Sus scrofa: one gene and its partner. The protein of the gene in region 1 interacts with the protein of each later gene in a pairwise test. Links are inferred from orthologs where the notes say so. Each region holds a gene or a part of one and is shown on either strand. Other genes may lie near its edges.

What was found.
Region 2: the proteins of CIB3 (region 1) and SERTAD1 interact in binary tests that used the Homo sapiens proteins (3 or more experiments, as listed by UniProt). The two-hybrid records come from large-scale screens. The link is inferred for Sus scrofa from reciprocal best matches to the Homo sapiens genes CIB3 and SERTAD1.

The regions. Positions count from the first base shown.
Region 1 is NC_010444.4:61,410,563-61,413,494, forward strand, and holds part of CIB3 (calcium and integrin-binding family member 3), read left to right. Parts: intron 1-518; coding exon 519-666; intron 667-1,750; coding exon 1,751-1,946; intron 1,947-2,932. UniProt on the Homo sapiens protein: Acts a an auxiliary subunit of the sensory mechanoelectrical transduction (MET) channel in hair cells. Plays a role in regulating hair cell MET channel localization and function.
Region 2 is NC_010448.4:48,699,567-48,703,942, reverse strand, and holds the start of SERTAD1 (SERTA domain-containing protein 1), read left to right. Parts: upstream 1-1,494; 5' UTR 1,495-1,668; intron 1,669-3,633; coding exon 3,634-4,353; 3' UTR 4,354-4,376. UniProt on the Homo sapiens protein: Acts at E2F-responsive promoters as coregulator to integrate signals provided by PHD- and/or bromodomain-containing transcription factors. Stimulates E2F1/TFDP1 transcriptional activity.

The DNA of each region.
Region 1 (2,932 bases):
GGAACCAGGGTCTCTGAAGATATGCTTGAGAATCTGCCTCTATCTTTCAGCTTCTCTTAGGAAGAGGCTTCAGTCTCAGGCAGCCTGTCCTCTTGAGGTAGTGAAAGGAAAGCTTACCTGACCCAGATTTCCTCCCATCAGCTCTGCAACAAGCAGAAAGCAGATCTCTCCATCCAAACTTTTCAGAAACTGTCCCAGGGCAGCCTCTGATTGGCCAGTTTGAGTCACATGCCCAACCCAGAGGCAATCACAGTTGCCAGGAGAATGGGAATCTCTGATTGGCTTCTCCTGGGTCATGTGACTTCTTCTGGAGCTGGAAGTGGGGTCAACAGTCACCCAGACCCCGGGGGCGGGGGGGGAGAATGGAGCTGCCAGAAGTCCTCTCCAGGAACCACGGGAGGGAGGGAGTCTTGGTGAAGGGTACTTGGAGGTTCCCAGGAAGGAGGGAGTGATAACTATAGAACCTCCCCCACCACAAGATCCTGGTCAGGGATGGGCTCCCCGCTTCCTGTTTCTAGGACAACCCGTTCCGTGAAAGGATTGCCCAGGTCTTCTCTGAGGATGGGGATGGACACATGACCTTGGATAACTTCCTGGACATGTTTTCCGTGATGAGTGAAATGGCTCCCCGGGACCTCAAAGCCTACTATGCTTTTAAAATTTATGGTGTGTGCAGGGCCCCGGGGTGGGGAAGTGGGAACAAGGGTGGGTCCTGGGCCAGGGAATGCCCTGCTGTCACAAATATCTCCCCCAGGGCTCTGAGGTCCTGCATGGCCCAGTCCTTCACCCTGCTCTGGTACCTCCCACCTCATCCCTTTGCTCACTCCATTCCAGCCATACTGGCCTGGCTCTTTCTCCCAAACACAAAACTCCTTCTGCTTTCAGGCCTTTGCCTCTGCTGTGCCCTTTGTCTAGACTACCTTTCCCCTGGCTCCTTCTTACCTCGAAATTGAGGTCCAGAGTAGCCCTTGCCCCGAGTGACTCTCCATGCCACATAGTATTTCTCTCCTAGCATGGAGCAATGCTGCTTAATTTATTGTTCCTTCATCTGCTCACTTATAATTTCTCTCTGAGGAGACCCAAGGTCAGGGGTGGTGTGTTTTGTACACCATCTCTCTCTGTGTCTGGCACATAGTAGGTACTCAATAAATACTTGTTGAGGAGTTTTCACTGTGGCTCAGTGGGCTAAGAACCCAGCTAGTATCCATGAGGATGTGGCTTTGATCCCTGGCTTCATGCAGTGGGTTAAGGATCCAGTATTGCTGCAAGCTCTGGTGTAGGTCCCAGATGCAGCTTGGATCTGGCGTCGCTGTGGCTGTGGTGTAGGCTGGCAGCTGTGGCTCTGATTTGACCCCTAGCCAGTGAACTTCTGCAGGTGTGGCCCTAAAAAGAAAATAAATAAATATTTGCCAAATGAATGAATGAATGAATGAAAATTCATCACAGTGCCTGGCATACAGTAGGCACTCAATAAATACTTGTTGAAAGAGGGGATGAATAAGAAACAATTATCACATGCCTGACGCATAGTAGGTGCTCAATAAATACTTGAGTGAATGAATGACTTCCCAGCAGGTCCCTGCCCAATTCCAAAGCAAGATCCAGCTCTTACCCCCAGGGTCTTGTGTTCCTTCCAGTGCCTGAGTTTCCTCCGCTGTAACACGGGGACAAGATATACCCATGACTAGCCTGGCTTGCCTGCACCCTGCTGTCCCCTCACCCTCATGTCCCCTTCCATTCTGCTGTACAGACTTTAACAACGATGACTACATCTGTGCGTGGGACCTGGAGCAGACCGTGACCAAGCTGACACGAGGAGAGCTGAGTGCTGAGGAGGTGAGCCTGGTGTGTGAGAAGGTGCTGGATGAGGCTGATGGGGACCATGATGGGCGGCTTTCCCTGGAAGACTTCCAGAACATGATCCTGCGGGCACCAGACTTCCTCAGGTGATATTCCTCACTGCCCCACACAGTCAGTTCCCACCTCTGAGAGGCGCCCTTATGAAACAGGTTCACAGACTCCATTTGTGAAAGTTCCTTTGGTCATTCATTGGTGACCTCGGGAAATTTTCCCAACCTCCTTGTCTTCAGTCCCTGCGTGTTTAAAATGTGGATAATTGGCATTCCCACTGTGGTACAGTGGGTTAAGCATCTGATTGCAGCGGCTCGGTGGCTATAGAGATGTGGGTTCCAGCCCGGCCCAGAGCAGTGGATTAAAGGATCTGGTGTTGCTGCAGCTGTGGTGTAGGTTGCAGCTGTGGCTCGGATTCAATCCCTGGACTGGGAACTTCATATGCCACTGATGAAGCCATAAAAATAAATAAACTAAAATGGCAATAATTAGACACCCTGTTGACACCTCCTGTGTCACAGGGTCACAGCTCTTTGGGTGAGTGGAACACGCTTTGACTTCAGCCCTCACTTTCCTGAACATTTTGCAGTGAACAGACTACACAACTGTGCTTGGCAGCCCTGGGGAGAATCAGAGCCCCTGCTGCAGGGCAGAAAGTGGGGATTCAGCGAGTTAATGCAGGGGGTAGCCAGCCACTTTTTTCCATGCCTCCTGTGAACTAAGAAGGGTATTTATATTTTTAAATGGTTGGGGGGAAAAATCAAAGAATAATCATACTCCATGACACATGAAAATGATATGAAATTCAAATTTCTGTGTCCATTGCTAGTTTTATTGGTACACAGGCATGCCCACCTGTGTACATATTGTCTGTGGCTGCTCTTTTTTCTTTTTTTTCTTTTTACGGCCATACTTGTGGCATATGGAAGTTCCTGGGCTAGGGATCAAATGGGAGCTACAGCTGAGGCCTATACCACAGCCACAGCAACACCAGATCCAAGCCCCATCTGTGACCTACACCAAAGCCTGTGGCAACACTGGATCCTTAACCCACTGAGTGAGGCCAGGGCTTGAACCCACA
Region 2 (4,376 bases), on another chromosome or scaffold:
CACCCCAGCCCCCAATCATGATTGAATGCAGATTCAGATGCCTATTTGGTTTTAATAAAGAAATTATATAGTCTCTGGTATTCTGAAATATCTACCTCCCCCAATCCCTTCTTGTGTTTTCTTGAAGTTGAATTTCTGATAGGATAACCCTGTGGTGCTGTAGGCAGCCTACATTGTGTATTTGCCTGATTGCCTTCGTGTTTAATTTTTCACTCTCTGTTCCCTAGAAATTGGAGTTGGATCTAGACACTTGAGATTGAGCATCCATTGATAATCGCTGTCTGAATCAACCAGTCTAGTTAGCATTTTTGATGGCTTACTTTGGTCAAGGGCTTTATTCACAAACAGTTCTTCCCATAGGGCCTGAAGAGTTAGCAAACGAGCTACTGAAGAAGGTAAGACCCATTGTCAGTTTAGCCAACAAGTATAAAACTGCTGTCTACCTTCATCCCATCCGGCGTGTCTCCCCTTGAACTGTGCTATTACCACAACAGCCATTACTACGAAAGGACACGTTGTCACACACCACTTCCAACGTTTTGCACCAATTGTTTTTTAATCCTTAAAACAACCCTCTGGAGTTCCCGTCGTGGCGCAGTGGTTAACGAATCCGACTAGGAACCATGAGGTTGCGGGTTCGATCCCTGCCCTTGCTCAGTGGGTTAACGATCCAGCGTTGCCGTGAGCTGTGGTGTAGGTTGCAGACGCGGCTCGGATCCTGCGTTGCTGTGGCTCTGGCGTAGGCCAGTGGCTACAGCTCCGATTCGACCCCTAGCCTGGGAACCTCCATATGCCCAAGAAATAGCAACAACAACAACAAAAGACAAAAAAAAAAAAAAAAAAAAAAAAAACAACCCTCTGAGCCAGATGCTATTTGTCTGATTTTAGAGGTGGGGAAACGGAGATGCTCCTAAGAAACTAAAACATTTGTGCAAAGTCACACAGCTACTTAGGGAAGGGAGCCCAAGAAGGGGCTCCAGGGACATCCCACCCCTCCCTTCCTAGTTCCTGTAACCACAATTGAGTACACCTGCCCAGCATCTGTAGCGTCTGATATAGTGCTTTTACAGAGACGACCTTATTTTAATTTTACTAACTCTCAAGAGCTAGGCAAGAAGATCTCCCATTTAACAGACTCAGAGATGTCAAGCGTCTTTCCAAGTTCTCGCATCGAGTGAGAATTTGAACCCCGGGTCTATCTGGCTTAGAGTGTAGACCCCTGTTGGGGCTGGGTGAGTAAGAAGTTCAACTGCTGGAATTGGCGGGGCCGGGGGTAGGTGTGAGGGGGCAGCACAAGGAGAGACACAAACGCCACCCTCTACCGTCCCACAGGGCAAAGAGCCACCCCACCTTCTCTCCCCGGTTCCTTCACGAAGCTGCCCGGACATGCGCCCTGAAGACCACTTCCCCTCCTTTCGAACCTGCCCCCTATAGGCCCCGCCCATCGCCATCTAGGACCAATCCCTGAGTGGAGGGCGGGGCCTCCAGGGGAGTGGGCGGTAGCTAAGAGGAGTGGAGAGCCTGAAGTCGTGCGCTGGAGTCAGAACTCCGTCTCTCAAGCCAGGCTCCGGTTGCTGGAGGAGAGTGAGCGAGCAATGCTGCCGCCACCGCTTCCTGATTGGCTGCGGGTGGCTCCCTCTTCGTCCTGATTGGCAGTTTGTGAGCTGGGTATGTAAATGAAGGGAAGAAACCAGGGGAAAGAAGGGGTACTGGCCGCGGGGTCCTTTGGCAGGTTCGATCCCTGCGTCCGGCAGGTGCGAACCAGGGCTGTCTGGAATCGAGACGCACGGGCCTCTAAGGGCCGTCCGCCCCGGCCGGGCCGGGTGAATCACGCCGCAGCCCGGGAAGGGGGCGGAGGCGCCGGCTCTCTGGCTCCGGCTGTGTGACTCACCCGCCCCCGCCGCCGCCGCTTCGGGAGGAGTCGCCTCCACTGCCTTCCGGAAGCGAGCGGAGGCCGAGAGAGCAGAACAGCTCTCTGGGTATTCCGGCTCGCACGGTCCCGGGCGGCTGGCAGGAACGTTCACGTCCCGCGCGGCAGCATAAAGGGTCCGGGGGGGTCTGAGGAGCCGGAGTCCCCGGAAGAAAGCCGTCCTGGGGCCGCTAGGGGGCGCCGGAACACGGGGGAGGAGTCGGGGGTGGGGGCTGAATTCCTGCGGTTCCGGACTCCCGGGTCGGCTGGGAAGGAAGAGAGGACCCAGTTTTGAGTAGTGTGAGCGGTCCGTCTTAAAGTCCTGCTAGGCAAGGATCCCAGTACCCACTGTACCCTGCAGGCTGCCCGATTTAAAAAATCAGGTTGGGCCAGGGCACCACCCCGGGCAAAGTGTGGGTTCTCAAACTTCTCTCGGTGACCCCTGTGCCTATCAGGATTGTCCGGCAAGCTCTGTCCATTCTGCCTCTCAAATAAATCCTGAATCGACCAACTTCCTTCCATGGCCACTACCGCCTTTTACTCCCAAGTCACCATCATCGCCCACCCCAAGCCTCCAATGGATCGCAGTGCCACACTCTTCCAGCCTCCCTCCCTGTCCCTGCTCCCCAAAGCAGCCTAGGGGATCTTCTGGAAACCTAATCAGTCCACAACGCGACTCTCTTCCCTGCTCAGAACTCTTCAGTGACTGCCCACCACACTCACAATAAACTCCAAGCTCCTTGCCTCTGCCTCCTCTCCAACTCGCTCTTCTCCCTCCCTGCCCCCATGTCGCCCTGTGTACTGACCTCAGAGTTTTTTTTCAGTTCAAGCTGTTCCAGCCTCTAAGACTTTCTTTGCCTTTGCGGTTGTCCTTTATTCCCGGAATGCCTTCCCCCAGGTTCTTCCATGGCTACTTCCTTCTCATACTTAAGGGCTCATTTCAAATGTCACCTCAACATGCCACAGGCCCAGCCAACAAACAAACAAAGATTGTCAAAGTCACCTCGGAGGGGGAGCCTTCCCTGACTATGCTCAGATCCTTTTGGTATCTTCCTAGCACCTTCTAACACTTCCTGTATTTGTTTATGTATTGGTTGTCTGATACTATTAGTAGGCACCCCAATAAATATTAGATTAAAGCACGTGAAACAGCTGCCTCGCAGGTTAAAAGAAAGTTTAGACTATTGGACATTTTACATGTTTCACTGAAGAAATAAATAATAGTTATATTAATAGTATTATTTATGGGAGTTATTGTATACGTATTCACTGTTGTAAGTTCTTTTCGTATCTCACTTATTCCTTAAAACACCTCTAGGGGAGTTTCTGTCATGGCTCAGGGGTAACAAACCCAACTCTTATCCATGAGGATGAGGGTTCCCTCCTGGGCCTCGCTCAGTGGGTAAGGATCCAGGGTTGCTGTGACCTGTGGTGTAGGTCACAAATGAGGCTCGGATCCCGCATTGCTGTGGATGTGGCCAGCAGCTACAGCTCCAATTCAATACCTACCCTGGGAACTCCCATATAATGCTGGTGTGGCCCTAAAAAGACCAAAACCAAACAAACAAAACCTCTTGGAAATAGATACAAATATCATTCATATTCTAAAGTTTCCCTAAGAAAGGCTAAGGTCAGAGAGGTTAAGTGATTTGCCCAAGATCACACAGCAGTTGTCAGAACTTCACGTTGGCTTTCCATAACTGACTGACTGTCCTTCCTTGCAGATGATGCTGAGCAAGGGCCTGAAGCGAAAGCGGGAGGAGGAGGAGGAGGAGGAGAAGGAAGCCCTGGCAGTTGACGCCTGGTGGCTGGATTCTGGCCACCCAGCAGTGGCACAGGCACCCCAGTCGGTGGCCTCCAGTTCCCTCTTCGACCTTTCGGTGCTCAAGCTCCATCACAGCCTGCGGCAGAGTGAGCCGGACCTGCGGCACCTGGTGCTGGTTGTGAACACGCTACGGCGAATCCAGGCGTCCATGGCACCCGCGGCTGCTCTGCCACCTGTGCCCACCCCGCCTACATCCCCTGGTGTGGTGGACAACCTGCTGACCAGCTCGGACGCCGCCCTCTCGGCCTCCATGGCCAGCCTCCTGGAGGACCTCAGCCATATTGAGGGCCTGAGTCAGGCCCCCCAGCCCCTGGTAGATGAGGGGCCACCAGGCCGCCCCACTGGGGGAGCCCCACCCAGCCTGGGTGCCTTGGACCTACTGGGCCCGGCCACTGGCTGTCTGCTGGACGATGGGCTTGAGGGCCTGTTTGAGGACATTGACACCTCCATGTATGACAGTGAACTTTGGGCACCAGCCTCTGAGGGCCACAAATCCAGCCCGGAGGGTGGGCCAGGCAAGGAGGAAGCTCCAGAGCTGGACGAGGCCGAGCTGGACTACCTCATGGACGTGCTGGTAGGCACACAGGCACTGGAGCGGCCACCAGGGCCGGGGCGCTGACCCCCAGGGATGGAGTGGTGAGC